Elephas maximus indicus: one gene and its partners. The protein of the gene in region 3 interacts with the protein of the main gene of each other region in a biochemical or structural test. Links are inferred from orthologs where the notes say so. Each region holds a gene or a part of one and is shown on either strand. Other genes may lie near its edges. The genes, in order: PPP2R5A, PPM1D, CHEK2 and CDC25A.

Region 1 (7,696 bases), on a different chromosome or scaffold from region 3:
GTCCTATAGGGCCACTATGAGTCGAAATCGACTAGACAACAATGGGCTTTGGGTTTTTTTAATAACAAAACAGATAATTTATTCTGAACATTTTCACCATGAAAATCCTGCAATCCACTTAGGGAATGATTTTGCAGAAATGAACTTGTTACAGAGGAAAGATTGGATTATTTTGTTAATCCTTACCCATAGTACAGAATGCTTTAAGGAAAACTAGCTGGCACCCTTCCACTTTAGACTCACATGGACAAAGTGTAACATAAGCAGGTTGAAATAAACACTTGAAAGATCTCGGATACACACAGATATCTGAATCACTCCAGAGTAAGACTGTATTTCAGCGCAGAAAGAAAAATTCTCTTTCCGTACACCTACTAGTGAGCTTTTTCCACTGGTTTCTGTTAAGACCACAAATGGAAAAAAAGGGCTACTGACAAGAAACACAATGCTGTGGTGCCAAGTACACTGCCAAACTACCAAGAGAAGCGAAAAAAAATTTTAAATCACTTTTCAAACATTTTTTGAATCTGAGATAAAAGTAGTTTTTCCTGTTAGTGCGTAATGTGAGTAAGGGTCTTCTTTAATATATATTTATTTAGAATGCAGAACTTTTCTTATGGAGAATACTATATTTTCACGTAAAACATCTAAAATTAAAGTTTCAATTTACTTTTCTTCTCTTTGTAATAGTGATCAAATACTATAAATAAAAAACTCAATAGCACCTTCAGCTTGTTGAGCCGTATGTCACATAAATTAGGTGATTACTAATCCTGCATGTTTTTGTCAGATTTCCAAAAGTAAAATGTATTAAACCTGCATTCTCCTGGCCTGAAATCAACCACGTTTAATATTAAAATAACTTACTAAATAAAGTGGATAAAATATTAACAAGCACAACACTAAAACCAAAACCAAACCAAACCTGTCACCATGGAGTTGATTCTGACTCATTGCGACTCCAATGGACAGCAGAACTGCCCCACAGAGTTTCCAAGGATCACCAGGTAGATTCAAACTGCTCACCGTTTGGCTAGCAACTCTAGGACTTAAACCGTTGCCGTCCTGTTGATTTTGACTCATAGCGACCCTATAGGACAGGGTAGAACTGCCCCACAGAGTTTCCAAAGAGCGCCTGGTGGATTAGAACTGCTGACCTTTTGGTTAGCAGCCATAGCTCTTAACCACTATACCACCAGGGTTTCACAGCACTTACAAGAACCACAACATCTTACTAAAAAACGCTATTAAATATAAAAGAAAAATGCTAGCACTAAGTCTTCAAACTGCAAAAATAGACAATTTAATGATAAAATTAATAAAAATAACTATGATATTTCAATTAAGTTAAAAATTTAAAATCCATGAATAACAAAACAAAAAACCCCAAACCCATCACTGTTGAGTTCATTCTAACTCACAGTAACCCTGTAGGAACAGAGTAGAACTATCCCACTGAGTTTCCAAGGAGCAGCTGGTAGATTCAAACTGTCCACCTTTCAGTTGGTAGCTAAGAGTTTTAGCCACCGTGCCACCAGGGCTCCTTTATAGCTCTGACACCACTCAAGAATTAAACTCTTGACAACTTGGCCTACCACTGACTACCAAGTGTTAAGTTTTAACCACTTTTGTGTTCTAAAGAGCAATCAAATGACGAATTTGATGGCAGCTCTTACGCATATCTAAAGTAAAACCTCAAAAGCCAGTTTGATTTGTCTGTAGAATGTCTTTGATTTAGAAGCACCCCAAGGGTCTCTGAAGGGTTCCAACTATGATTCGATCTGGGGTTTTCTTTAGACTCCTTGCCAAACTATGGCTGGATACACATGCCCAAAGACAATCAAACTGGCCTTGAAGGGGATGCTGCAGCTTTTTCAATGGACAGAAAATTATGCTGAATATTATGTTTTCGTATGGGCCTTTCATTTCCCCGCCTTGGAAAAAGAAACGTTTACCTGTCCAAGGCATTACCATCTATCTGTTCCATCGGCGATGCCTATCTCTTAAGAAGAGGTGTTAAAATTATAAAATGAAGAAAGCAATTCACAAAGAATAAACGAGAACACCAGGAGGCAACATATTTAAAATCCTCTGACCCTGGGGCAAGAGCGAGCGAGTGGGGTGGCAAGTTGTCCCGCAGGCAGCAGCCAGGACGGGGGTCTGACCTCCGGCCCAGCTTACAAGGCCCGGGGCCACGGCGGGCAGGTGAAGGTGTGCACCTTCCACACTCCCCCACTCCCCGGACATGTCTTCTCGGACGGGAAGGGGGTTGCACCCCTTCTATTATACTTTGGGCTGGAGATCACTTTTACACCTACTAACCCAGTAAATAAAACCTACAATGCTCAGATTTCAGGCTTTCTCTTCATAACTGAATCTAAAGGTGGCTAGCTCTCCCCGGGTGTGCATTAGGGGCACCCAGCGGGCGGGAAGATAGGAGAGGTGGGTGCAGGCGGCTGTGCAGCTGAGCGACTAGCTAAGAGCGGCGGTCGGCGCTGGTGACTGCGAGCCTGGGCGACGGAGGGGCAGGTGCGACCCCAAACGCAGGTGAGGCAGCGCGCAGGAGGAGTGTTTGCTGGGGGGCCTGCCTGCCTCCCCCAACCCGGGAAACGGGGGGCCAGGGAAACAGCAGGAGAGGCAGCACAGCCCGACACAGCCGTCGGAAACAGGGCCGCAGACCCCAGCCCCCGTAGCCCCCCGCGGCCGCCCGGCCCCCCACAGCCCCCCGCAGCCCGCGCGGCGCTCACCTCGGAGCTGGGGCAGGGGGTGCAGCTCCGCCTGGCCGCCCTGGCTGCGGAACTGCGACGAGCCCTGCGAGCGCTTCTGCCGCTGCGCCTTGCGCACCGATTTCCTGGTGAAGCCGTCCACCTTCTCCGCGGCCGAGATGGCGGCGCCGGCAGCCCCCGCCGCCGACGCCATCGCCGCGGCCCTGGTGCGGGGCAGGCCGGCTGCTGCGTGCCCGGATCCGGCGGCGGCGGGCGTGCAGAGCCCGAGCCCGCGCCCTCGCCGTCCGCGCCGCCCTCCGCTCCCGGGGCCGCCGAGCTCCTCCGCGCCGCCGCCGCCGCCTCAGCCGCCTCACGGCCGCATCGCGGTCCCGGGGACTCCGGGCCGGCGGCGGGGAACGAGTTGTGGACTCCGGGCGCGGGGCCCGGGCGGGAAGGGGCCCCAAGTTCGGAGAGCTGAGGCGGGGCCGGGGGTGCGGACGCCGGGCGCTCGCCTCGTCCGCTCAGCCCGGGTCGCACTTCAGTGGCCGCTGCCCGCGCCGCCCGTCCAGCCCGGAGCCGCCTCCCGGGGCGCTGCCATCGCGGGTTCCCTCGGAGCGGCCGCCGCCGTGCCCGCTCTTCCTGTCAGCGCCGGCCCCGCATCTCCCGAAGCGCTGACCCGCCGCCGGCCCTCGGCGCGCACTCGTTCCCCGAGCGCCGAGCGGCCGCCCCTCCCTCAGGCGCCCGTGTGCCGCCCACGGAGGAGCCCGGCGACGGCCGCCCCTCCCTCAGGGGCCCGTGTGCCGCCCACGGAGGAGCCCGGCGAGCGACCGCCCCTCCCCCAGGCGCCCGTGTGCCGCCCACGGAGGAGCCCGGCGAGCGACCGCCCCTCCCCCAGGCGCCCGTGTGCCGCCCACGGAGGAGCCCGGCGACGGCCGCCCCTCCCCCAGGGGCCCGTGTGCCGCCCACGGAGGAGCCCGGCGACGGCCGCCCCTCCCCCAGGGGCCCGTGTGCCGCCCACGGAGGAGCCCGGCGAGCGACCCTCCCCCCTCAGGCGCCCGTGTGCCGCCCACGGAGGAGCCCGGCGACGGCCGCCCCTCCCCCAGGCGCCCGTGTGCCGCCCACGGAGGAGCCCGGCGAGCGACCGCCCCTCCCCCAGGCGCCCGTGTGCCGCCCACGGAGGAGCCCGGCGAACGACCGCTACAACTTGAGCGGCGGTTGCTACAGGGAAGGGCGCGTGTGTCCGTGTGCGCGCGCAGGGGCGCGCGGCTTGGGGGAGGGGCTCCGAGGGAGGGGGCGGGGAGGGGTTTGATTGGCAACTTTCGCGGTGTCCCGCCAGCCTCTCAGATGCCGCGTGAAGGTCGGCTCCCGCGGGGAGGAGAGACAGGGGGCGGGAAAGCATGCCAGCTCCCTGAGCCAATCGCAGAGCTCAGCGGCAGGAAGGGGGTGAGGCGTGGCCTCCTGGACGGCTTGTTTAGCGTCGAGCTGACAGGATAGGCATAGGAAGGGGCGTGGTTGTGTGACGGACTTTAGCAACAGCCAATCGTAAGTGAAGGCGGGGAGCGGGATGCCAAGTGCGTCACAGCAAAGTAACGAATCCTCGGGGGACTGGGGAAAGTGCCCCCCGGAGTGAGCACGTTTGCACGCCTGCGCAGCAGCTGCGGGCTAGTCCTGCTGCCTTGACGGCCCGTAAACACCCGAGGGGTGGTGCGGCGGCCTTTACAGAGGTAAATAGAGTGCTGGTCCCGCCCCCGCCGCTCGGCGGGCCAATGAGGAGCGGAAGCGACTGGGCGCCTGCGGCTCAGGGCGCGAAGCAGGAGGAAGGCCGGGTGTGGCGTCACTGAAGCCGGAGGGCGGGCGGCGGACTTTGTGGTCGGCGGCGGCGGAGCCCGCGGGGACCCGGTCCGGCGGCTCGGACCTCGGCGGCCCGGCGCCGTGCGGTGGCAGCGTCCGGGTGAATTCGTAGCCGGGCGGTAGTTGAGGGGCCGCCGGGCGGCCTGGCTGCTCCTGCTGCCGGGGAGCCCCTGGTTCCCAGCTTGGCGCCCCGGGTCTTCCCCAGCGGAGCGGGGAGACTCGCCATCAGTGCTCCGCGCGCTGTGGGACTTGGACGCACTCTGGTTAGGATTCCTCCCTCGGAGGCTGCTTCTGGATTCATAAGTTTAAGGACAGGCATTGGCCGTCTTAGGTTTTTTGTGCAGTACGTCCTATATAATGGGCTTAGTAAAAAAAAAAATACCGGGAAGCCGGGGTGGAAAGGGGACTCTGCTGTCCCATTGTGGGGATTGCAGCTAGTGTCACAAAACAATGTGTGTAATTGTTTGTATGAGAAGTTAACTGGAGCTGTAAACTTTCACCTAAAAAAATAAAGGGACAGATACGAGAATTGAACTAGGAAGAGTTAGGGAAACAAAGGGAAAATCATTACAAACAGCGGGACAAGGATGTGTAAAGAAGGGCTGTAAACTGGTTCCTTCCGGCTGGGGTCCCTGCTGAGAATTTGCATTTCCAACAAGTCCCCGGGTCACGCCAGTGGTGCTGGCTTAAGGACCAATCCTGAGAATCGCTGGAGGAGCGGTGGTTCTCTGTTACACCAAAGACTCACTTGGGGATGTTGTTGAAATGTAGATTCTGACTCAGTACATCTGGAGTGGAAATGCAAATTCTCAGCAGGGGTTTGAACTGGAACCAACTGGTTCAAAGCCTTGGGATAAAGGTGCAGAGCCAGGAGAGACCAAACAGCCCACTGCTGTGAGAGTCGGTCCCCACTGGGTACCCAGGCTGTAAATCTTCGTGGAAGCAGACTGCCATATCTCTCTCACAAGAGCTGTTGCCGTTAATTTAGCTTTCCTGACCCCCAAACCTCTCATCTTTGCTTTAGGGTAAATGTTGACCATTTGGTCTCATATAGATGGTTTTTTTTTTCCTCCCCCGCCATGGAGCACAGTACTCACAGGTGATATTATTTTATGAGCCACTCTGTAATTTAGCTGAAAGATGCACTCCAGGAGTGTTTCAGTTCAAAGTGTAAGCAGTATCACAGGACAATAGGCTCGGGGGTTCCTCTAGCCTCTAGTGGTCCAGTAAGTCTGGCCTTTTTTAAGAATTTGAGTTTTGTTCTACAATTTTCTCCCATTCTATCCCAGACCATCTATTGTATCCCTGGTCAGAATGGTCAGTAGTGGTAGCTGGGCACCATCTAGGCTTTCTGTCTCAGGGTAGATGAGGCCATAATTTGTGTAGGCAGCTGGGCCTGTAGACTAGTTTCTTATTTGAATCTTTGGTTTCCTTCTTTTTGCTCTGGACAAGTAGAGACCAATAGTTGTATCTTAGATGGCTGCTCGCAAACATTTAAGACCCCAGGTGGTACTTACCAAACTAGAATGTAGAACATAAACTTCATGGACCGTTATGCCAGTTGACCAAGTTGTCTCACGAGAGTATGGTCCTAAGACTTCAACCCCATTAAGGTGTTTGATTATGTCTGGGAAGCATCTGTGACTATGGCCTCTCTGCTTTGTTACATATATGAATACATGTGTAGTACAAGCATGTATATACATATGACTACAGATACACCTATATAAGCGTACATATATACATACCTACACCTTTAATGGAAGATGTTTTGTTGAAAGTAGTGTTTTAAAAAGACTGGGCAGGGGAAGTGAGAGCCAAGGAGGTTGGTTGAGGTGATTGCAGGTGCCCAGGTGATAAGCACCTGAGTGAGTGGTGCTAAGCAATCTGTGTCAGCATCAACTTTGGAGCCTTTTCAGAACCTTCCTATACGTTCCTACCTCTCCAAGGGAAAGAAGCATCTTGGGGTGAGACAAATGCATTTTGAAAAAAATCCCAAATGATACCCCAACTCCTCGCCCCCACTCTGTATCCCCGTTCTTTGATGGCAAATGGTTTAAGCTAAAAATGGCCTTGAAAATTTTAAGAATTTACAAAAAAAAGCAAGAAAATACTTGATTAAAGGTAGGTGGAAAGTCAAAGAGAAGAATTACAAGTAATGCCAAAGTTTTGAATCGGGTGACCAAATGAGTTGGGGGCCTTGAACAAAAAGTCCAGAAGCTGAGCCATTTTGGTGGAGTGGGGGAGGGGTGTCAGAGAAAGGAATAGGGAAATAAAGATGAATCTGAGGTTGAATTAACAGAAACTGAGTTTTTAAGGTCATTGAAGCTGGGTAGCTAGGTCTTTATTTTTAAAAAGAGGTGATGATAGGTTGTATATTAATTTGGGGAAAGAAGATGACTAGACTGGCCTGACAGCCTGGAGCGGGCCGGAGCAAAGAAGGAAATTAAACAAACTTCTTTTTCCTCTCTAAGGAAAAAAAAATTTATAATGGAAACACATGGGCACAAGAGATGTTGCCTGCCATGTGTCTCTGTATTGTCCAGTGTCAAGGGCTAGTCGGGCTGCACAGAAGACAGCAGGAAAGCCCCCATGTCTGCTGTGGCACCGGGCCAAGGATCAGAAACAAAATTGCCCTCGCTGTTCACAAATGGCTGAGTGACCCTTTGAACACCATATGCACACACACACACTCATTCACCCTGTGTTCTTAATTCCTAACAACCTTCCAAACTCAACTGTGACAAAACCTCTCCTGCGGTGCCTTTATAAAGGAGGCAAGACTCTGTCTCCCAACCAAACCTCTCCCCCCAGTATCAGGCACGGCTGACGTAAAGTGTCCAGCTTCCCTAGCTTGTGACTGGCCAAGGCCTCTTCCTGTCCTCAGGAGCTAGATCCTGGTCTCTCACATTGAATTGCAGTGGTCGTATTTCCTATCTTACTCCAGGTGGGCTAGGACTGGAGAATGGCACAATCTTGCGTCAGATGCCGTTCTGGTCCTTGCACATATTGGGCTTTGTATTTCAGCATAAATTACTGGAGTATTGTCCTTAGGAGAGAAAGTACTACGTTATTTCAGTAACGTAATAGAGCACATTTTGGTTCTCTGTGCCAGGAAATAATGGTGATGGGAGCTGCTA
Region 2 (6,869 bases), on a different chromosome or scaffold from region 3:
AAATTTAATCTAGAGCTAAATGGAATCATTAATAACAACAGTAAGAGGTAAGGTGTGTTGAGTATTTGTTGTATGTAGACACTGTCCTAGACCTTTTACATGCACTACCTAGTTTTTTTGTTTTGTTTTGTTTTTGCCGGTGGGTGGGGATAGCCTTGATGGAGCAGTAGGTAAATGATACGGCTGCTAAACAAAATGCTAAACAAAAGTCGACAGGTCAAATCCACCAGCCACTCCTTGGAAACCCTATGGGGCAGTTCTCCTCTGTCCTTCCTGTAGGGTTGCTATGAGTTGGAATCAACTTGATGGCAATGAGGTTTGGTTTTTGTTTTTTTTACCTAGTTTTTTTTTTACAATATCTTCTGAGGTAGGTGCTAAGTTAAACAGCTAGAAAATGTAATAGATTTTTCTGTTAAAGCATATTCTAAGGGGAAACACCTCAGAATTTTTCTGATAAGCAAACATCCTAGGAAAAAAAAATAAGGATTAAATCAAAAGCAAACTATAAGTTATTATAAGTGTTTTTGCTATTTGCCCACTATTCATTCAAAATACAAACTTCTCTTTTAAAAGGTGATTTAACAGTTGACCTTTAAACATCAGATTTGGAGCCTCTTCTAAGTTCAGTCAAGTCCAACAGACTGGACAGAGGAAGAAAATGTGGGGGGAGAAATGTTGGTGCCTTCCAACTCAGCACAGAGGAGACAGTGAGTGTCCCAAGATAATCTGCTCCCACACTGCTCCGAAACCAAAACAATCTTCTTAGCACCCAAAAATAAATGCAATGTTTAAATTTTACTGTTTGTATCTTAAGGTTGGTCTCCTGTGAGTCTGTCTCAAATTCTGAAGGGCACATTGTTTGGGGCTTAAAACCTTCTCCAACCGCAAGGGTAGTAAACAGTCCTGCTGAGTAAAAGTAAGCCACACAATAATTACTTTAGGGAAAAAAATGCTTTTTAAAATCATTGAAACAAATAGATGCTATTACTTTTCAGCAAATGAGAAGAATGGGAATTTTTTGTCAAGATAAAGCAATAAATTCAAGACAGTCTCTTTAGAAAAAAGGCTAAGCTAAGTGTCTTAGTAGTGCTATCTAAAGAGAAGAGGTATGAATATTCTTTCCACATTAATGCCTCAGAAACTAGTTATCTGCAGAAAACATGACAGATTGGATTTTCATGGCTAATTAAGAACACATACAGGTTTGACACCTTTGGGACTCTGGCAGCAGTGATTCTAATTTTGTGTCTCCCACCAATTTATATTCATGCACAATGAACATGACAGTGGTAGTCAGATTAAATTGATTATTTTGTTAAGTCTCGAGTTGCAAAAACAACAAGGTCAGAGTAAAGGCAAGTCACAGAAGTTAATCTCTTGAGACACATTATCTCAAAGTTCTAAATACATAGCTTGGCTATAATAGCTGAACAATGGGAAAACTACTTAGTATATGTTACTGATATTTTCTAGCTATGGGAAGAAACAATAGCAAATTAATTAGATTATTTTTTTGCTTCTGAAATTAACTCCTACCTTTGAAGGTTTTGAACTCAATAATTAAGAGCAAAATATTACAAATGAACAAACCAGTGGGTAAGATAGTTAACCCTGAGATAGATACAAGGAAAAAATACTTTTAAAATCATTTAAAGCTCTACTTAGACACTTAGCCTTTTTTCCTAAAGAGATTCTCTTGAATTTATTGCTTTACCTTGATGAAAAATTCCCTTTTTTCTCATTTGCTGAAAAGTTACAGCATCTATTTGTTCAAATGATTTTCAAAACTTACTATCTAATAAAAGAGTGTCACTAACCAATGGATAAAAATTGGATCATTTTATAAAAGGTATTGGGAAACAAACCTATTTGAAAGAAATTCAGATTAGATTTTCAGTTCATGCCAAAATAATTCCAGATGACCCTGAATGTAAAAAAAAATTTAACCATAAAAATACTAAGTGAGCTGATGTCTCACCATCCTCACTTCTAAAGAGCATTCTGGTTGTATTTCTTCTAAGCCTGATTTGTTCATTCTTTTGGCGGTCCACAGTATATTCAGTATTCCTTGCCAACACTACAATTCGAATGCATCAATTCTTCTCTCTTCTTTTTTCATTGTCCAGCTTTTGCATGCATCTGAGGTGACTGAAAAGACGACCATGGCTTGGGTCATCAAGGTGACATCTTTGCTTTTTAAAACACCATATTATGGATGAAGGTCCTTTCAGACATTTGCTTCCAGAATAAGAAGGTTTTGTCCATATGAAATTTTGCTGGGGCAAATACCCTCCCTCTGCAATTAGTTTTATCTAAGGTTTCAACAAATTCTGCTGCTGCCTTCACATCAGCACTTGTAGACTCACCACTCTCATGTAATGCAGCGAAAAACATTGAAGTGCTTGACCCACTGAGTTAGCAGTAAACTCGATTGGAGTCTGGCCCTGCTTTTTCTTTAAGCATATCAAACAAGCTTTGTGCTTTAGCAATGACTGTCAGGTTGCAGAGGGATTCGCTTTTGTGTTTGGTCTGTAATCCATGTCATTAGTAATTTCTCCATATCTGATACTGGTCCCTCTTGCGTTTTTCTCAGCTTTGTAGCTTTCAGTGGAGCAGGGCCTTTAACAGCTTGGAGAATTTTTTGTTTTTGAGCATCATCCTGATTGTCAAGTGCCACATGCCTAAACCTGCTATGTCCCTTCTCCCATCTTTCTGAACTCTATTATAGCTTTATGGGACCCGGCCTTATGGCCCAGCAGACGTTATTCTGTGCATGACTGCAGTATCATTCCGTTTGAAAATCTTGATGGTGAAGTGGCCAAGAACTGAAAAAGTGAATTTAAAACAGATTCACTTCGAGAACGTTTGCTGTTGAGAACATACTAACCTGTCTACTCTGAAGCTTATTTTTAATCTATGAAAATCCATGCAGAGGTTTGAGTGCTTTGATTGGGACCTATTTAGTGAAGAGGGGAGATGGATAACCAAGTCGTCAGAGCGCTTGTAGCACTCGGATGGTATGAAGTTTTTGTACGCTATTTTTATGTTATCTGATACCACAGGAGTAAAATGTACCAGGGCTAGTAGGAAAAAGTACTATGTTTAACCAAAGCTGAAAAGGTGTTACTAATGGTTAGACTATAACCCTCCTAAGTCTCTGACATACCTAGTTAGTTATGTGAAATGAGATTGTGCAGCTGATGGTGGAATTTAACCCCAAGTGTTCTTAACAACAAACTGGATTGCCTCCCTCTTCAACTCCCAGTCGAATACATCCCACCCAAATCCAGCTCAAGGGTGCTTGCCACACTTTTTCCAGCCAGTTTGCAAACGAGTTTCCGAAGGTAGGTTTCCCGCCATTTCGCTGAGGAATGGAAGGTCTTTCCTCCTTAGATTCTGCTTTACACGTAGGAAGCCCGACCTTACACCAGTTTCCTCTTAAGGCAAGCAGCGGAATGCGAAGCGCGGTCAACAGCGTTACGATGCGGGGGGCTGAGCTGAAAAGCGACAGACCAAGTCGCCCCGTAACAGCTCAGCATCAGCGGAAAACCCGACCGGGGAAACGCGCGCAACTAGAGTAGAGTGAATGGGATTGCGCGCGGGCCCAGAGCCCGCGGTGGGAGGAGGGAGTGCAGCCGTTGCAAGGAGGAGCGAAGGTTGGGGGCGGAGGGCGGGTTCGCTCCAGCTCGATTCCGATTGGCCCGGCCCACAGCACCGAGTGACGGCAGCCCGGGAGAACGCCTGATTTGTGTGGTGGGCGCGGGCCGGCGGAGGAAGCGCATTGCGCAGGCGCAGTTGCTCGGCTCCTCTCGCCCTAGCGCTCCGGCCCAGCTCTCGCGGACAAGTCCCAACATCGCGCGCCCCCCCCCCCCCGCCTCCGGGACCGCCCCCTCCCCCTTCTCGGCGTCGTCGAAGATAAACAATAGTTGGCCGGCGAGTGCCGAGTGTGTCTCCCGCCGCCGGATTCCGCGGGCTGCGTGGGACCGGCAGGATCCCGGCCAGCCGGCCATGGCGGGGCTGTACTCGCTGGGAGTGAGCGTCTTCTCCGACCAGGGCGGGAGGAAGTACATGGAGGACGTTACTCAAATCGTTGTGGAGCCCGAGCCGACGGCCGAAGAAAAGCCCTCGCCGCGGCGGTCGCCGTCTCAGCCGTCGCCTCCGCAGCCGTCACCACCGCCGCCGGCTCTCCCTGGCAGCGAAGTCTCGGGGAAAGGCCCGGCAGTGGCAGCCCGAGAAGCCCGCGGTCCTCCCCCGGACGCCGGCGCTTCGCCGGATCCCAGCCGCTGCTGCCGCCGCCGTTCCTCCGTTGCATTTTTCGCAGTGTGCGACGGGCACGGCGGGCGGGAGGCGGCACAGTTTGCCCGGGAGCATTTGTGGAGTTTCATCAAGAAACAGAAGGGTTTCACCTCGTCCGAGCCGGCGAAGGTTTGCGCTGCCATCCGCAAAGGCTTCCTCGCCTGTCACCTCGCCATGTGGAAGAAACTGGGTAAGTTCCATGGTTTGTTGGGCGCCCGCCTCTTTTTCAGGCAGTTCAGGGCTTTTAGCAGCAGCCAGCATCGCGTGGGCACCCGGCACTTGGCACTCGGCACTCGAGAGCGCTTTCAAAGTGTGCATTTATAGAAGTGAAGACTCTTCTCGGTCGAATGGCGCTTTTCAAGGTGGAGATCTGGGCAAACAAATTAGCCTTGGAAGAGAGAGGATTGCTGTCTCCCTGCAACCGGCCCTCGCTTTATTTCCACTCTCCAAGGATGAATGGGAAGCCGTCTTTTCCCTAAACTGGTTCACTTTGATGGCAGCCAGCGAAAAGTGTAGAAACCTAGCGCCAGTTTTTGTCCGAAAGAGAAATCGAAGACACGCTGCTACCCGGGCTACGCGAAGGAAGCAGGAGATGGCAAAAATTAGTGTTTCCTTACAATCTGTCATTTTGCTCTTGAAGGACTTATCCCTCTCGGTTGCCGCCTACTGGTGATGTCAGTTCTCCAAAGTGACCCAGGGCGGCTGATAGTCGGGGTAAAGTGTAAGCTAATTTAGAAGGGCTGAAAGGTAACCAAACAATTGAAAGTCTTGGGGAAATACTCCGTTGCGGTGATTATAAAATGCTTTTAGGATTTTTATGCCTGTACTGCATATGAGAAAGAAAAGTGCGGAACTTGTTATCTCAAACTAGCTCCCTGTGAGAGGCGTGTGAAATTTATCTAGGCCTTTTTAAAAGTACAATTTTTATTTTCGGTAGTTGCTTTAGCTAATTTCTACCAGGTAGTTCTCTACAGTTCCTTGTTAAAAAGAATTTACAATGGAAGGGCTGACTCATTAAGGGGAGGGCAAGTGGGAGTATGGAGTAAGGTGTATATAAACTTATATGTGACAGTCTGACTTGATTTGTAAACATTCACTTGAAGCTCAATAAAAGTTAATAAAAAAAAGAATTTACTAGTTATAAGCGCCCATCAAAGTAGCAAGGAATTACTAATATGCTAAAACCCAAACCAAACCTTTTGCAGTCGATTCCGACTCATAGCCACCCTATAGGACAGAGTAGATCTGCCCCGTAGGAATTCCAAGGACAGGCTGATGGATTCGAACTGCCGACCTTTTGGTTAGTTGCTCAGCTCTTAACCGCTGCACCACCAGGGCCCCAAGAAGAAATAGGGACTTCGATTTCTAAAAACTTAGTGTAGGTTCTCCAAGAGATTGTAGTTCATTTAAAATTTTAGGTGTTTTCTAAAGCAGCCAATGTTCCTGTATCCAACGTATGTTTTCATACAGGACTGTAGTTGCTTATCCATTTCAGTAAATAAATGGCATGCATTTTTTTTTTTTGATAGAAAAAGAATACTCTTCTGACATTAAAACAGAAAACAAAACTCGTGTTTATGGTAGCATAATGTTTTATTTATTTCATGCAGAGAGGCAGAGAGAAAGAGTGTCAAAGATTTGTTAAATACAGAAAAACACCTGTGAAAAGGTATCATAGAGTTCTAGATGAGCTGCTTTCAAATCCTGTTTTCCATTTGCCTGGCTTTCTGCCAAGAATTATTTGATTGACTCAAAAACCATCCAGTGGGCTTGTTGCTTGAGGTGTTTCCCATCCAATCCCAGAGGCCCCTATTATGGATTTGTTTTGTTTTTGTGTAGGCAGGCTAGAGCTGAAAGCACTGCAGTATATTCTAGAAATACATCACATCGACTGCAGGGCGACTAGAAGTAGGCAGCAAGGCTACAAGATATAGAGGATGATTAGACACAAAGAATTATTTAGAGTTTTTATTTTGCAGTATACTTGGAGCAACATGAATTTGCCCAGTTTGAACTGTGAGGATTGAAAAAATACAAACACTTCCCTTAATTGATTTTTTTAAAAGAAGTTATGTAAACCCTGTTACTAAAATGAGTGTTTTTTAATAAAGTTGGGGCCATGATGATAAATGTATGTATGTTTTTTACATACATATGCTTTTTAAATCAAGCTTTCACCCCTATGATGCATGGTCTTAGAGCCTTAGACTCTAGCCACATGTTAAAGTCAGGCAGGGCCTCACATTGGTTTCTTCTGGGTTCGAACCCCTGCTGAGAACTTGTATTTCCATCCCAGATAATGCTGAATCAGAATCTACATTTTAACAAATCCCCAGGTGATTCTTGTGTCTAATAAATTTCGAGACCCACAGCTCTACTAGTGATTCTCAGAATAGGTCCCTAACCAGCAGTATTAGCATTGCCTGGGAACTTGTTAGAAATGCAAATTCTCAGCAGGGTTTCGAACCGGAACAAACCGGTATGACGTCCTGATTAAAGTTTGCTTTGTACCACAGCTAAACCTTGAACTCCATCCTCAAAATTTGAATAAACCAAATCCAATTTCTAACATG
Region 3 (8,015 bases):
AGTTCTGTGTTATGTGCTTAGGATGCGAGGGAAGCAAAAAGCAGACACAATTTCTGCCTCTGCAGAACTTCCAGTGTAATGGGTAAAGCTGATATTGATCTAATAATCTCACACAGAACAGTAAAGTTTTAACTGTGATTATTCCTACAATGGTGGGGTACACATTGCCAAAAGGTGTTAATGGAGAGGTCAAGAATGGTTTCTCTGAGGAAAATATCCCCCAGATCTGAAAGAGGAGGAGTTAACTCGATGGGCTGAAGGAGAAGGTTTCAGACAGAAGCAATAGCACGTGCAAAGGCCCTGGGGTAGGAAGATGCCTGGTATAGATGAGGGATTGGAAGTGGCTGGTCTGGCTGGAGTGGAGGGGGCAAAGAGGAAGAAAGCAGAGGCCAGACCATGCAGGGCCTTTTAACCATGCTAAGGAGTTTGGTCTTTAACCTGAGAGCAGTAGGAAACTACCCCAAGTTTATAAGCAAAGCGAGGGGTTATATGATTAGATTTGAGTTTCAAAAAGATCACACAAGTGACAGTGTAGGAATATTATACATGGAGCTAGAAGATATAGACAGACCAGCCAGGGGCTACTGTAGGTGTGCAAGTAAGAGAGAATGATAGCTTGGAACAGGGTAGCGGCAGTGAAAATAGATGGGTAGATAGATTTGAGATGCATTAAAAAAGTCATCTCTGTAAGACTTGGAGATGGATGGTAAGGGAGAATAAAATTGTTAAGGATGGCTCCCCAGTGTTTAGACTTATAAAACTGGATGGTGCCATGTGCTTAGAGAAGAACCCTGGAAGAGCAACAGGTTGCTCTTTTTTTTTTTTCCCATTGAGGAAAGGGAGGCCACTCATGAATTCCATTTTGGACGTGTTAAATTGAAATATATAGAAGGCACAGGCCATGTCTTTCTTGTTCACTGCTATATCCTCAGTGTCAAGCACAGTGCTTGATACATAGTAGGCACTACGTAAACATTTGGGAAAGTTTGTAAGTGCATCCAGTCTGAGTGAGAACCCTGGAGTCTTTTCTACAGAATAAAGTAGAAAACGAAGCTATATGGGGTCTGAAGAACAGGGTCTCAATCTTTGCTTTGCTACATATCTGCTGTGTGACCTTGGGAAATTCCATGAAATTCTAAGACACATTTTCCCTGTCAGAGATAATCACAGTATCTAAATGACATCACGGGTGGGAAGGAACATTCCAATCTGCAAAATACTGTTGTTGTTGGGTGCCACAGAGTCGATTTCTACTCATAGTGATCCCATATGACAGAGTAGAACTGCTCCATAGAGTTTTCTAGGCTGTAGTCTTTATGGGAGCAGATTTCCAGGTCTTTCTCCTGTGGAGCGGTTGGGTGAGTTTGAACCACCAACCTTTTGCTTAGCAGCCGATAGTATTACATTCTTGATTTAAGGCTGCCTTTTATAGGGCCACTATGAGTCAGAATTGACTTGATGGCAGAGGGTTTGGTATTTTTTTTCCAGAGGGACGTTGCAAGTTTAACCTCCAGACAACATTGGTTTCTGTATGGTCAAGAAAAAAAATTCCCTGAATCATCATGATAACCAGTAATTTTCTCTCTATACTCGTCTTTCACTTAACCCTAGGTATATATCCATAACAAAGTGCCTTGGCACCGTTTCATCTTTTACCTGCGACAACGGATTCAATCTCATTGACAGCACCTTCATGTTGAGCTTCTGCGAGTTTTTCATTGATTTCCATTATTTCCACGAGGAATTGCTTGTCCATTTCATCTGTCCCTTCGGGAATCTCTATTCCACGGAGTTTTAGCTATTGAGGTATAAAGCAGACAAAATAAGTTCTGTTTAGGAAACTATGGCCAGAGTCCTGTAATTCCTATTCACACCTTAGAACATAATATCGCTCATGGGGAAAACTCGAGCTGTCCTAATAACGAAAGCGTTAAGAGTAGGTGCCAAAAGCCTGGGCCGAGACAGAGTGCTGGGACAGGATCCCTCTCTGTGCTCCTTGGACCTGTGTGACCCTGGGGAGTTACTCTTCTACTCAGAGGTTGAACTAAATGTTTGTAAAGATTCTATTAAGTTCTAAAATTTTCTGGAGTTTAAGACTTCTCCCAAAAGAAACCAAAAATTACCCTTCATTAAAAGTCATCATCAAATCTTTGAAATTTATAGAAAATGGTGTCAAAAAAAAAGAAAAGAAAAAAAAGCAACTGGGGCAAGTAACATTTGCAGAGAATACTCAGAGAAAATGATACTCGTGTAGTATCTTTGAGGCTAAATATTGGGTCTCTGGATCAGCTCAGGTCTCAAGCGCTTTTCTCTGATTAGAGGGGAGCAGGTGTCCCACAACACAATAAGCACCAGGCAGTCACGCATAAAAGAGTTGGGAAATCACCTTACAAGGTATAGTCCCCTGCTTAGGGGTGCCAGAAGGGTCTTATAGGCATCATTCACCAGGGTCGAATGCTTCACTGAGAAGTCCTTTTCAGTCTGTTAGTGGGAGATGAAGGCAGTCTTATTATCATCCAAATTAACCATCTTACATTCACAAACTGTTTTAAAAAGGCTGATGGGTTACTGGGCCATAAAAAGAAATGAAAGTCCTGATGCATGTCACAGCATGGATGAACCTTGAAAACATTATGCTGAGTGAAGCAAGTCAGTCATAAAAGGGCAAATACCGTATGATCTGACTTATATGAAAGAGGCAAATATAGTGGTTACTAGAGGTGGGAGGGAAGGGGAGAAAAGGGAGTTACTGCTTAGAGGGCACTGCGTTTATGTTAATTGTAGTGGAATAATTTGGAAAAGGATAGTGATAATGGTTGTAAAACATAAAGAATATAATCAGTGTTACTGAATTATACATGTAAAAACTGTTGAAGTGGCATATGTTTTATTATGTATATTTTTACCATAATTAAAAAAAAAAAAGGCTGATGGGTGGAGACCTCAGGAAGTAGCCAAAATAGAACTGGTGTCGGATGAGCTGTCTTAATTTTCAACTGATTGGTTTTAGTCTGCTGGGAAGTTAGATAAAAGCTGTGAGTGCATGACAGCTCCAAGGCCTGGCTGGCTGAGGTCAGGCTGCCATAGGGTAGAGCTGGTTGTCCGGCTTGTTCCGTGATAATTACATAACCACAAGGCCACTGCCACCCATCTAGTGTGTACATGTGTGTTTGGGATGATTGGGGGTAGCCAATAGACTACCTGAGACCTCTGGCTGAAGAAATCTGGATGAACGAGACGCTGTAGTTGCTGGTACCTATGCTGGAGCTTCATGGTGTCAACTCTGAAGGAACGGTTGCTGGAAGAAAACCAGTAGATGAAATTCATGGAACAAATAATTAAAGATTTGTCTTCTATAAGCCTGGTTCCTGCTCTCATGGGGGATGGTTTCAAATAGTGGTTGGTGCTATGAATGAAAACAGAACTGGGTCAAAGAGAGTGGTGAATGGAGTGGATGAAGAGATGACATTTGAGGGGAGACCTGAATTTGTGGAGGAGTATTCAAATATCAAAGGAAAGAGCCATCCAGTCAAAAGGAACCACAAGTGCAAAGGCCCTGGAGTGGGAACAAAATTGGCACACTGAAGAAATTAAAGGGTAGTGTCATTGCAGCCCATAATAAGTGCTCAGTGACCTGTGGGGGCAGATCCTGGAGTTGAGGGAAGGGGCAATGCTGAACTTCACCCAAACTTTCTCTCTCCTAGATCTCCCACTTTCCTTTAATCCAACTCATTTTAGCTATCAGTTCCTAGAGTCTGCCTTATCACCTAACCAGTCCATCTCCACCCACATTTCATCACCTCTCCAAGCTCAATTTCAGAGGAAAATGGGAAAAAACACCCATTTCTGGGACCCTCCACCTTCAATTCCCACTTTTCCTTTAAATCCTGCCCACAATACTAGTTTTTCTGTGCTTTTACTCCCTTAAAGATCCCTATTGGTGCACTGGCTAAAAGCTTGGCTGCTAACCCAAAGGTTGGTGGTTCAAGCCCACCGGCCTCTCTGTGGGAGAAAGATTTGCAGAACTGCCTTATGGGTCAGTTCTACTCTGTAAGATCACTATGATTCAAGATCCACTCCATGGCAAGTGTTTTTTTGGTTTTTACTCCCTTAACTTGGACTATACATTAGTATTCCTTTCTTTAAGAGTTTCAACCCAACTTTAACCTTTCTTACTCTGCTCCCCAGGTCTCCCTTGTCCTAGGTCCAGCCCTCAATTTCTCCTCTCAGGCTTCGCACCTCAAGTCCCCCCCTCAAGTCTCCATCCCTCATCTCTCCGGCCCTTCCCTCAGACCCCGCCCCTTAATTTTCTCTCCCTCAGGCCACTTCCCAACCTCCATTCTCCCAGGCTCCGCCCCCAACCATCTTTCAGGGCCCCTCTTCTCCAAGCCTGGTCGGCCCACCATTCTAGCTGACCAGTTCGTCACGTCTCGATGGTCTCGACCCCTTTCCCAAAACCGCCGCCCGTACCAATCCATGAGGCTGAAGTAATCTCGAGTGGGGTCGGGTGGCTGCAACGCGCGGCACTGCGGGCAGAAGAGTATGTCCTCCCCTGTGGGGCCCCCTGGGCTGCCGCCGCACTTCCAACATCGCGGGGAGTTGCTTCGGGCCTGCGAAGCAGCATTGCAGCTTAGTGGTCTCCTCCTGGGGCTCCATGCTGGCCTCAACCCCCACACCCGGAGCAAGGCCCCAGCTCTCCCGCCCCACATCTGGCCCACGGCCTATCTCGCCTGGGTCACCTGTGGGGGAAAGGGGAGTTAGCGAGCGACCTAACTAGTGCTGCTGATTGGCTGTGGGAACTGAGGGGGCGGGATCACCTTGGGGAGGGGGGGAACCTGGATTCTGTGTCCCGCTTTGAGATCTAAACTACAACTCCCAGCAGGCAATGAGGCTACACTTCCAAGGTCCCATCCGCTTCTCCTCATTGGCCCAGGGCGGCGGAGGGTGTTTTTGATTGGCTGAGGAAGGAGTTTGTATTACATCTTTAGCGCCACTCCGCTGGCTGCGGCTGCGGCTGCGGCGAGTGTGCGCGAGTCGGCTGCGGCGAGTGTGCGCGACTCCAGGTGGGCTCGCAGGGTGAGTCTTAGTGGGGAAACTTTTTTGGGTGTTTTAGGGGTTCGAATCCCGTCCTCAGGGTCTTATGCGAGCAGAATCTCTGGAGCTTCCGCTTTGCCGAATTTGAGCTCCCGGGGGGGGGGGGAGGCGAGTACGTGGGCGACTCTTCCTTCTTTGTAGATAAACTTGGAGGTGAAGTTTACATTCCCTCGTGACTTACAAGCTGCTACTGGCCTAGACCTAGAAGGTGGGAAGTTAAAAAGTTTATGCTCTTAAAAATCACAGCGAAGTTGCTTTGTAAGGAGTTCTATGAATGTTAATGATCACTGCCATGATTTAAATTCAATATCGTAAGTATTTTTGGCGAACCCACTTTAGCTGCTATGCGCTGCAGGAACAAGAAACCCACTGCCCTATGTGTGTGTGTGTAGCGGATGCCTTGCGAGTGGCCTTAAGTGTGAGGGATGGGGTGGCAGGGAATGGGCAGCCAGCACGAGACGTCTTTGAGACTCAGTTTCTTATATGAAAAAAGATTGTGTTGCATATGTGAGGCTTTTTTCTCGCTGTAGGATTCTTCGGGACTGGAAGTCTGTTCACAGTCATGGGTTTTGCTGTGGTTATTGTGGCCTTTCACACCCCACTCCGCATGGCCTGCTGATATAAGTAGCTCCCAGTTATCATGCATTACTGGGGTGGAGGGGGAGGTGGGGAGAGCAGAGGGCTAGCATTACATGCATCACTTCATTTAATCCTCACTATTTATTTGCTTTTTTCATATGAGTAAACTGAGACTCAGAGAGATTGGGACCTGCCCAGTGTCATGCAAAGATTTGAGGCAGGCCTCTGACTCCAAGGCTCTACACCTCTAGCAACTCCACCATACCTTCTCACTATTGCTGAGGCCGGGGTGGTCCCAGCTCTTTATTTTTGTCTGAGTGGGTGGACCCTTGTCCTAAGCAAATGATGGCTGCCACCTCTTGACACGCTCTTTCTTTCTCCACTTACCAAGGGCGGGGACTAGATGCAGACGAAGAAGTCTTGTTCAGAAAGCTACAGAAGGACCCAACCTGGCTGAGGCAGTTTTAGACCAGCAGGTTCTGGAGTGGCAGACTCAGCTCTGGCATCACCTTCCTGTTGTGTTTTAAGAAAAGCTCCTCAGGACCTTTGTATCTTGAAAGCTGTGTAAATGCAGTAACATTGTTTACAACATTCTCCTGAAGGATTAACCTGAATGTGGGGAAAGGAAATACTTCCATTAAAAAAAAAAAGTCAAATTGGATCAGGCTTGCAAGTTACTTTGATTTTACAGGAGGTTCTGTTGTCTGAGTATAACTATCCATCAAGTTAATTCTAAAGAAAGGGAGCCTCTGTTATGGTATCTGTGACTCAGAGAATGGTTCAGAATTCTGTCCAGAATGGAAGGCCTTTTGGGATGCTGAAAAGATGAACCCATAGTTACTTAGCATCAGAAGAGCTAGGTGGAGTTGTTTAGAGCAGTCTGGTTTGTGCTCTGTTTCTTTAAGTGGCCTGACCCAAGTTAGGTGCCAGGGGATCTGGAATGAACAAACTGGATATGGTCTCTGTCCTTCTGGAGTAGGCCTGGGTCAGGGTGAAGGAGAGACATCCGATGTGTTTTATGTCAATGACAACCCTAGCCATTGTATGGTTTCTCTTTGCTCAGCTTCTACCTTTGTCCACCTGACAGTTCCCCGCCTTCTTTCCCTCTCAAAATATATATGAAATTTAAGTGTAGTGTTAGTTGTATTAATGAATAGGGTTTAGGTTTCATTTCTAATTTTTAAAAATTGAGGGAATGTAAGCTTTTGAGCCTTTGACCCCATTCCCCCCAACTCAAAAACTATTGGTCTAAATTGTTAGCATTTTAACTTTTTAAAATAATTTGTCTTATTTTTGTTGTGGAGAATATACACAGTAGGACATACACCAATTCAACAGCTTCTACATTTACAAATCTACATTGATTACATTCTTTGAGTGGTGCAGCCATTTTCGTTCCTCCCACACTAACAAACTCATTGCCTCCTAAATTTCCTGTCTAACCTTTCAAGTTGCTATTGACAATTTGATCTCGTGTAGATAGATCTTAAAAGAGCATAGTGCTCACAGCAGACGTAGCATTTTAATTTTTGCAGAGCATGTGTATCCTGTCTTTTTTTTTTTTAATTTAAAACCATTGTAATTTGCCCACCTTTCACTCTTGAACTTTAAGTTTTGTTCCTTGAAACTTATCTTATTGGTGAACACTTGCTTTTTGAGGTCCTGATGTCTCGAGAGGCAGATATGGATTGTCAGCAGTCCCAAGACGGCACCTCCTCACAGTCTCAAGGCGCCACCTCCTCTCAGTCCGCCACCTCCTCTCAGCCCGCCTTCTCCTCCTCCTGGCAGTCGCACAGCAGCTCCTTGCAGTCCCCTGGCCTTTCCTCACAGCCCCACGGCTCTTCGCAGTCCCAGAACACATCTGGCTCCTCCTCTGGCACAGTACACACATCCAGTCAGTCCTCTCACTCCAGCTCCGGGACGCTGAGTTCCGTAGACACAGTGTCCACTCAGGAACTCTACTCTATTCCCGAGGACCAAGAACCAGAGGAGCCCATCCCGGCCCCCTGGGCTCGATTATGGGCCCTTCAGGATGGATTCTCCAATCTCGGTAAGCGTCTTTGTTATATGATGCAATGTTTCATTCAGAAAGACAACTACAGTAAGTTGTAGTAGAAGGCTCGAGTCGCTCCTGGAGTGATTCTGGAGTTTGATGGTGATGGAAGATGAAACTGAGGAAGCAGTGTTGGGTCGTACATTAGCTCTTAACCCCTTTTGGATTCCCTTTATTTATTCTTACAGCAGATACTTTTTGGGCATTTGTGCTGTGCTGTTGGGCTGAGGTTCTTGAACAGAGCTGTGGACTCTCCCCAGAAAACTGCAGTTTCATGCAAACTTGTAAA
Region 4 (7,997 bases), on a different chromosome or scaffold from region 3:
AATGTCATTATAGAATTAACAAAACCTTTTTCTAAGCACAAACATTTAAAAGCAGTGAATACATACTTTTCTTTACTGTCCAAGGGCCCAGGAGAATCCAGACAGAAGCCTGTGGGAAATTGAAAAAAAAAAAAAAAAAAGTGTTTCTAGCCGCCATTAATCACTGTAGTTCAGCTGGTCTATAAAGCAGCCTTCATTCCTTCAACCAGAATTTCCATTTGCCTGTCGATTTTCATTTAAAATATTTTCAGTTCTTTGTGCTTTGCAAGTGTCTAAAAATCTCTCAGAAAATCATAAACAAAATACATTTTGTCATTAAAAATAAATAAAATTAGAACTTTACGTATAAGTCAGCCAATAAAGACTCATAGCTTAGACCTTTGCCAGAACTGAAGTCAAACCTCTACTTGATTTCTGTGGTTTGCTGATTGTCAAAAACATCTTATTTGCGCAAGTCTGAATATTTTTGTAGTATAATCTATCAATTCCCTCTCCTACTTGCAAATACTACCAAAACAAAACAAAACAAAAAAACCCAAACTATGGAGATCCCATGTACGTCAAAGTAGAACTATGCTCCATAGGGTTTTCAATGGCTGATTTTTTGGAAGTAGGTCACCAGGCCTTTCTTCCAAGGTGCCTCTCACTAGACTCTAACTTCCAACCTCTCGGTTAGTGCATTAGCCGTTTGCATTACCTAGGAATCCCAATTACCATCAGTTGAAACAGATTTTGAGGAAAAGGTTAAACTGATTCACGGCATGATTGCCTGGTTGTTCAGAGGTAACTCAGGTAACTTTCCAACTGTCAGTTCCAACCACAGAAAGAACAGGTATCAGGGTTTTCTGGGATAGTTTCAATTTCAAATATTTTATCTTGGCAAATCACGTGGGAAAATTTGGGATTTTGAAAATTCAATTACTAGTCGTGTGACATGTAAGGCCAATATTTGCTGCCTTCAACAAAATGGCACCAAAGTAAGGTACCCATCTCATGAAAGGCCTCCCACACTGCCACAAATAAAAATCCTATATCTAGCTCTCAAGAAGCTGCCTGTATTTTAAGACTTTTGTTCTTGCAGTTCTTTCACCTAATGTATCTGTGCCCAAATGCTCTTATCTGTGCAAAGATAAACCCTGTAGTAACATAAATTTATGATTTAGAATAATACAGTGGCGGTTTTCCTCCACAAGCTTACTCAAATACTTTCATTATACTTCCAATAACTTGACCCCAAATTTTAACCGATGACGTCCTGAATTACACTTATAACGGTATGGTGAATTTTACTTTACTACTCATCCTTCGGAAACCCTGGTGGTGTAGTGGTTAAGCGCTATAGCTGCTAACCAAGAGGTTGGCAGTTCAAATCCACCAGGTGCTCCTTGGAAACTCCATGGGGCAGTTCTACTCTGTCCTGCAGGGTCGCTATGAGTCGGAATCGACTTGACGGCAGTGGGCAGTGGGTTACTCATCCTTCAAGGCCCAGCACACACCACTTCCTTGCAGACACTTGAACTTGTTTTGTCTCTCCATAAACTGCTACAAGGGGTTTCTTCCTGCTGTTCCTAAGGGTGTTTGTCACCCGATGCCTTGCATTCTCCATATCCTGTCTCAACCACTCACCAATAAGTCCCCAAGTGAAGAGGAATATTTCAGTAAATTCCCAGTGTTGTCCCCTACACAGCAGACACACAATGCGTAACTGAAGACAGAAAATACCTGAATCAGTTGACTCGGAGGAGCCCATCCTCTGCAGACTGCTGTTCTTCACCTCCAGTGCCTGCTCATACTCACTACAACCAAGAGAAATTTCCAGGACTCAATTAAAAGGTTACATGCAGGAGACAGGCCACAAGCTTAACAAGTGGCCGGGCTGGGCTGCCATGAACCATCATTACTTCTAGGCCACACCAGGCTCCACTTTCCCACCCTGAACACCCAGTTTGCACTTGAGGATAAAAGCAGAGGAGAAAAGAGAAAGTGGGCACACTCCTGGGCCACATTGTAGGGTATGATTATGACCAGTATTGAAATATTTCCTGAAATGGGAACATGTGTTCTAGGCACTGGGCTAGAAGAGACGATTAAAGATGACCAGGGCAGTGTTTCTGCCTTTCAGAGGTTTAGAAAGGAAGAAGACATTTGCTTAGTTAGAAAAAGGGATGCCCAAGGCTGGGAGAAAAGCTGCCTCATTAGAAACACTGTACGATGCATTTTTTACTCTAAGAAAAAGTCCCGGAGCTTTCCGGTATGGAAAGTTGGGTAAAAAAGCCTGGCTTTGGGAAAGGAACCGAGTGGGCAACAGGAATGCGCACGAGGCCAGGAGAGATTGCGATAATTTTGTACAAACACCAGGAAAGAAAATGCCACGTCCCTTTGTTGGGTAGGAACAAAGCTCACAGGAAATTAAGATCCTGTGAGGTTCAGCTAAGGGCTAAGGAGGCCCTGCTTTCTCCCCGTGGGGACAGGTTCCAGAGGGCTCCCTGGGATAGGGAAGAGGCAGAAGGAGGGTACAGGGTAACCCCAAAGGGGTGGTGAAGGTGGGGAGCAGGGGCCATCCCCACCCCACACCGGGTCCGGCCCTGGAGGGTCCGAATGGCCTCTCCCGCCCAACATTCCTCACGAGAAAAGGGTGCACATGGCGGGCCCTGGGGCCGGCGCTGCCGCCCCCGAGCGGCAGACCCAGGCGGGCAGGTCCGCCTCTCCCCGAGCCGGTTTCCCGGCCCAGTCTCCCCGGGGACCGCCAGGACCGACAGCCTGGAGCCCCACCGCTGACCTCCTCCTCACCTGCCCAGTCCCTGCAGCTGGTCCATGGTGACCGTCAGGTTGGTGACAGGCGACAGCCCCCCGGCGGCTGGCGCGCCGAACAGCGCCTTTACGACGGCCGGTGGCGCGGGAGGGGGGCTGCAGGCGAAGAGCAGGCGCCGGCGGTGCGGGGGCTCCGGGCCCAGTTCCATGGCGGCACCCGGCCTCCCCAGGGCTCCCGCTCCTTCTTTCTCCGCCTCCGCCGCGCCCGCCCCGCCCCGCCCCGCCGCGCCCCGCCGCGCCCCGCCGCGCCGACACCGGCCTCGGCCGCGCGCCCAGCTGCCGGTGTCAGCGGGTCAAACACAAACACGACCCCGCGGTTTAGGGACGCGGCCGCCGCGGGCAAGCGGCGCGGACGGGCGGGTGTCTGGGCCGGGCAGGCGCCAGCCACACGCACGGGGGCCCGACCCGCCCCCCGCGAGGCCGGCGGGCGGGCGGGAGCCGGCAACCTGAAGATTAAATCCAAACACTGAGGATCAGAAAAGGAGGGCGGGAGAGGGCCGCGAGGCAACGGCCCGGGCTCACACACTCTTCGTTCTTCTCTCACCCTTGCCCAATCCGGGGACGCAGAACACTAAGCAAACCCACACCTCCCTCCCGGGCTGTTGGGGCTGAGATGGCCTTTCGTGGCTCACTAAAGGGCCGCCGGTGCCCCGCCCCCTTTTCCTAGTTGGCGCCAAATGGAATCCGCCAATCCGTAAGCTACCTCCCCGCCCCCGAATGGCAGCCAGGCTGGACCAATGAGAGGAGAAGAAGGGAGCCGCTCGCGGGACTCTGCGAGGTCACCAGCTCTTGAGGGGGCGGGGCCCAGAGGTGACGGGGGCGGGTGGAAACGAGAGGGACTCAGAGGTCAATGAAAACTCCCAGCAGGCCCTGCGAGGCCCGGCAGAGACCAAAGGACCCCTCTTGACCCGTTGTATGCTGGGAAGCGTAGTTCCCACTCCGCGTGTACTTCGGGGGACCTCCTACCCGCGTTGAGCCACGCCCGCGTGTCCCGCGCCCCACAGCGTGAGAGAATGTGGAGATGAGAGGACTCGTCCGAGTCAGCAGGGCCCAGCCTTTTCTCTAGCCGTGCAGCACTATGGGCTGCTCTTCTGTTCGGCCCCAGACGAAGTTACAGAAGTTGAAGGACGCCCAGCCAGCCTGCGGGCCCGCCCGCATCCTCCCCGGCTCCTGACCCCAAGGGAGCTCTAACCAGCCCGGCCAGCGGCCCGTCACGGACACCGCGGGCTGCCCTGCCCACCAGCCGCTGGCCAAAGGGGGCTTGAGTTCCTCAATGCCTCATGCGCGAATCGAGATGCACCTTCGGTGTAAAAATCCACCTCGGATTCCGAGGCGTAGTACGAAAAATAAAATGTAAAATAGTTCAATAAATTTAAAATATTGATCACAGGGAGAAATGATAACATTTTTGTTGGGCTAAAAGCACAGCGTTACAATTACTTCCACCTCTCTTCACTGTGGCTATTTGAACATTTAAAATCTATGCGGTTCGCAGGTATATTTCTATTACACACACAGTGCTCCTGTAGATTCTGGCCCCTACCTCTCCCTGTGCCTGCTGCCCTTGCCCGGGTGTAGGCCTCATCATCTTCCTACTGTACGACTGCAGCAGCCTTTTAGCTGGTCTCTCAGCTGCCAGAGTCGCTCCCTCTTCCAAGCCATGTTTTCTACTGCATCGATCTCATCCTTTCCCTCTCCCAGGACATCTTCTTGGGATTCTCTTCAGCCTATTCTGAGCACTCAGTCCTTCTCGGGGGCTCCCCTCTGCCATTCCTGCTGCTCCTTATCTTTCCCGTACCATGCATACACTCTAATCTTCCTGAACTATAGTTAATAGAGGGACTTCAGAGCAGGCCACATTCTCTCTCTCCGGTACTAGGAACTCTCTTTACTGCCAAGATGGTGCAGGCATTAACTCCATCTGGAAGGTTACCAGTCACTCTAGGATGTGGCCTCAGAGTTTTGTGCTCAACTGCATTTTAAAAACCCAAACCCATTGCTGTTGATTCCGGCTCACAGCGACTCTATAGGACAGAGTAAAACTGCCCCATAGGCTTTCCGAGAAGCAGCTGGTGGATTCAAACTGCTGACCTTTTGGTTAGCAGCCTTAATGGTTAAGCGCTGTGCCACCAGGGTTCCACTTCCATTTTAGACCTTACTATTTTATATACTGAAGGGAACCCTGGTGGCATAGTGGATAAGTGCTATGGCTGCTAACCAGAAAGGATGGTAGTTCAAATCCACCAGGCGCTCCTTGGAAACCCTATGGGGCAGTTCTGCTACTCTGTCCTACAGGGTCTCTGTGAGTCAGAATCAACTTAAGGACTACGGGATATTCTGCTGTAAATCTGAATCCATTTGATGGCAATGGGTTTATATACTGTCTAGGAACACTAGTGGTGCAGTTGGTCAGGGCTCTGCGTGGGGAAAGATGTGGCAGTCTGCTTCTGTAAAGATTTACAGCCTTGGAAACCCTATGGTGCAGTTCTGTTCTGTACTATAGAATCATTATGAGTAGGAATCTTTTTTTTTTTTTCATATATACTGTCTTAGAATATTTCCTTTTCACCCTTTCTTACTCCATTGGGAGCTGCTGGATAGCAACGGTAGTAAAAATAATAATAGCTAACACGTAAACAGTGCTTATTATGTGCCAGCCACTGTTCCGTTTGCTTTACCTGCATCCATTTAATCCTTTCAACAGCTCTATGAGATGGGAATTATTATCCTAATTGAATAGGTGACTGTATTTCTTTTTAAACCCTTGCAACCACTGGTGGCTCCTAGAATGGTTTCATAAGACGGGCATAGATACAACCACCAGGCTTTAAGAGGACTTGTCTTTCAACAGCATTTTTAGAGTAAACATACTCTACTTATTAGAATGCATGTTTGTTTCAGGCAACTTTAACTGCGTGGTGGACATTATGACCACTTCCCTGCTCAGGGCCTACCACTGTATGAAAATGGTTCTTTAAAAAACTGCTTTCAAATGTTTGTATTAGGCAAACAATGCAACATAATTACAAAATTAGAAAAAAAAAACCCGTATTCCTACCACTTTTAAAGGAACAACTGTCAACACTTTGAACTTTTTTGTGTGTGTTCACTATTTTTTCAAGATCAAATCGAGGAATGAAAGGTCCTTCTTGACTGGGCAGACATTTCCTGAATGGGACTGGCACAAGTGGGATAACATTCCAAAGGATTTATCCCAGAAAGTCCAAGTATTGGAATAAAAGCTTGGATTCAGTAATGTCACAAAGCCACCATCTTTTTCCTTTTTAAAGGTTGACTAAAGTTGAGTGTGATTTGTATGATGTTTGGGGGCTATCTTCATTTATGAAAGGAAAAGCGTAATTGAACTGCCCCTTTGCCCCATTAATTTAGGCATGCTTTCTGAAGTCCCGCAGGGTGGTGTTAGAAGGAAAGAGCTCTGCACTGTCAATCTGGAGGACTGATTCTGCTTTGGGGCAAGTCAATTGTTATTCATTTGACTTCTACTGAGGGCCTACCAACTTTCTAGGCCCGAATAGACAAGTCATTGTTTCCTTGGAGGTTGCCAGGAGTGCCATCTCTACCCCCATTCCCCCTTCACCTAGCTAACACCCACCCTTCTTTCCCTTGCCAGGGAAGTTCTAGCCTTGGACTCTGACTGATACCCACCCTGGATATCATCCACCCCTGAAGAGCACTTATCATATGTTTACATTTGCTTCTACAAACTCAAGTTAAAGAGAACCTCCCAGAACACGTTGAGTTAATGAATACATGTTACAAAGAAAAAGTATGAGTGCTCTGAGAGCATTTAAGGGAATCTAATCTGGCCTTGTAGATCAAGGAATTCCTGAGGAAGTGACCAGAAGGATAAGTCCTTATTTGGTGGAGGAAGAGTGTTCTGATCAGAGGAACAAGTCCTGTGCAAAGACCCTAAGGCTGGAAGGATCCAAGAAGAGAGAGGAGATTGGGGAGGTGGGCAGCGACCAGGCTTTACCAGGGTTTGTGAGCCACATTCTGGAATTTGGACTTCATCCCAAAAGTAAGGGGAAGTGACTGAAGGGCTTACACATACATTTTAAAAAGATAGCCCTGGCTACATTGTAGAGGATAGATTAGAGAGGGGCTAGGGTACAGCTGGGGAGGCCAGTTTGGAGGGAATAACAACAGGCCTAGTATGAGATGGTCGTGGCTTGAACTGGACAGGGATGATGTGGAGGGGAAAGTAGGCCTCAGATTCTCCCTGTGGACAGTGAGGGTGATGGCCCACAATTGTGTCTTTCAGGCAGTGAAGGGCCCCATTGGGGGTCTAGGCTCCTCCTGTTGCCAAGCTGCTACCACAGTAGCTTGGCTTTTAAATCTACATTATATATTGCTGTACCTTGTATATTTTGTTTGAAGGAGTTTCTATTGCTAAAAACAAAACCAAAAAAAAAAAAAAGAAACACCCCAAAACATTACATGTGTGGTTTGGAAATTTTTTAGACTTTTTTCCCAATCAATCTATAAGATTTATTTTCTATAGAAATGGAAACATTCCTTTCCAGTACAATGTTTTACACAGGCCCATTCTCCTCTCAGAGTCCCCGGGTGGTGCAAACAGTTAACTTGCTTGGCTGCTAACAGAAAAGTTGGCGGTTCAGTTCCACCCAGAGGTGCCTCTGAAGAAAGGCCTGGTAGTCTACTTCCAAAAAAATCACCCATTGAAAACCCTACGGAGTACAGTTCTACCTTGACACAGATGGGATCGCCATGAGGTGGAGTTGACTCAAGGGCAAATGGTATGTCTCTCTCAATCTGTCTGCTGTGGAGACAGCCTGGGCCTCCCTGGAGGCTACAGGGCTTCAGCTGAGCACTGAGAAGGAAGGTCAGAACTAGGCTTTCTAAGATGGAATGAGCGGTGCAGGAGGCTGACAACCATTGTCCTTGATATTGTAGAGACAAGGAGGAGCACCTGGAACTGGGGCTTTCCAGGTTCTGAGTCTCCATCCGAATCCTCTGGGGAGCTTTAACTTTCATTTAGCTATTTAATGAGTAGGTAATCCATTCATTTGGTAGGAATTTAAATGATACTAAAAAGGCCTAGGGTAAAAAATTCTCTCTGCCACACTTGTCCCAAGCTACCCTGTATTCCTCTTCAGAGGTCACCACTGAGGCCAATTTTTTGTGTCTCCTTGGAAGAGTTTGTG

The links.
Region 1: the proteins of CHEK2 (region 3) and PPP2R5A form a complex in vitro, tested with the Homo sapiens proteins (2 studies listed by BioGRID and IntAct, with this or other methods). The link is inferred for Elephas maximus indicus from reciprocal best matches to the Homo sapiens genes CHEK2 and PPP2R5A.
Region 2: of the proteins of CHEK2 (region 3) and PPM1D, one has a biochemical effect on the other in vitro, tested with the Homo sapiens proteins (2 studies listed by BioGRID, with this or other methods). The link is inferred for Elephas maximus indicus from reciprocal best matches to the Homo sapiens genes CHEK2 and PPM1D.
Region 4: of the proteins of CHEK2 (region 3) and CDC25A, one has a biochemical effect on the other in vitro, tested with the Homo sapiens proteins (5 studies listed by BioGRID, with this or other methods). The link is inferred for Elephas maximus indicus from reciprocal best matches to the Homo sapiens genes CHEK2 and CDC25A.

The regions. Positions count from the first base shown.
Region 1 is NC_064842.1:861,352-869,047, reverse strand, and holds the start of PPP2R5A (serine/threonine-protein phosphatase 2A 56 kDa regulatory subunit alpha isoform), read right to left. Parts: upstream 3,002-7,696; 5' UTR 2,920-3,001; coding exon 2,748-2,919; intron 1-2,747. UniProt on the Homo sapiens protein: The B regulatory subunit might modulate substrate selectivity and catalytic activity, and might also direct the localization of the catalytic enzyme to a particular subcellular compartment.
Region 2 is NC_064837.1:32,687,076-32,693,944, forward strand, and holds the start of PPM1D (protein phosphatase 1D), read left to right. Parts: upstream 1-3,857; 5' UTR 3,858-4,008; coding exon 4,009-4,486; intron 4,487-6,869. UniProt on the Homo sapiens protein: Involved in the negative regulation of p53 expression. Required for the relief of p53-dependent checkpoint mediated cell cycle arrest.
Region 3 is NC_064840.1:27,874,157-27,882,171, forward strand, and holds the start of CHEK2 (serine/threonine-protein kinase Chk2), read left to right. Parts: upstream 1-5,010; 5' UTR 5,011-5,076; intron 5,077-7,332; 5' UTR 7,333-7,338; coding exon 7,339-7,723; intron 7,724-8,015. Other genes in the region: iron-sulfur cluster co-chaperone protein HscB, read right to left, coding at 1,657-1,798, 2,392-2,481, 3,202-3,298, 4,471-4,709. UniProt on the Homo sapiens protein: Serine/threonine-protein kinase which is required for checkpoint-mediated cell cycle arrest, activation of DNA repair and apoptosis in response to the presence of DNA double-strand breaks.
Region 4 is NC_064838.1:52,522,460-52,530,456, forward strand, and holds the start of CDC25A (M-phase inducer phosphatase 1), read right to left. Parts: upstream 3,015-7,997; 5' UTR 2,961-3,014; coding exon 2,791-2,960; intron 1,797-2,790; coding exon 1,723-1,796; intron 110-1,722; coding exon 67-109; intron 1-66. UniProt on the Homo sapiens protein: Tyrosine protein phosphatase which functions as a dosage-dependent inducer of mitotic progression. Directly dephosphorylates CDK1 and stimulates its kinase activity. Also dephosphorylates CDK2 in complex with cyclin-E, in vitro.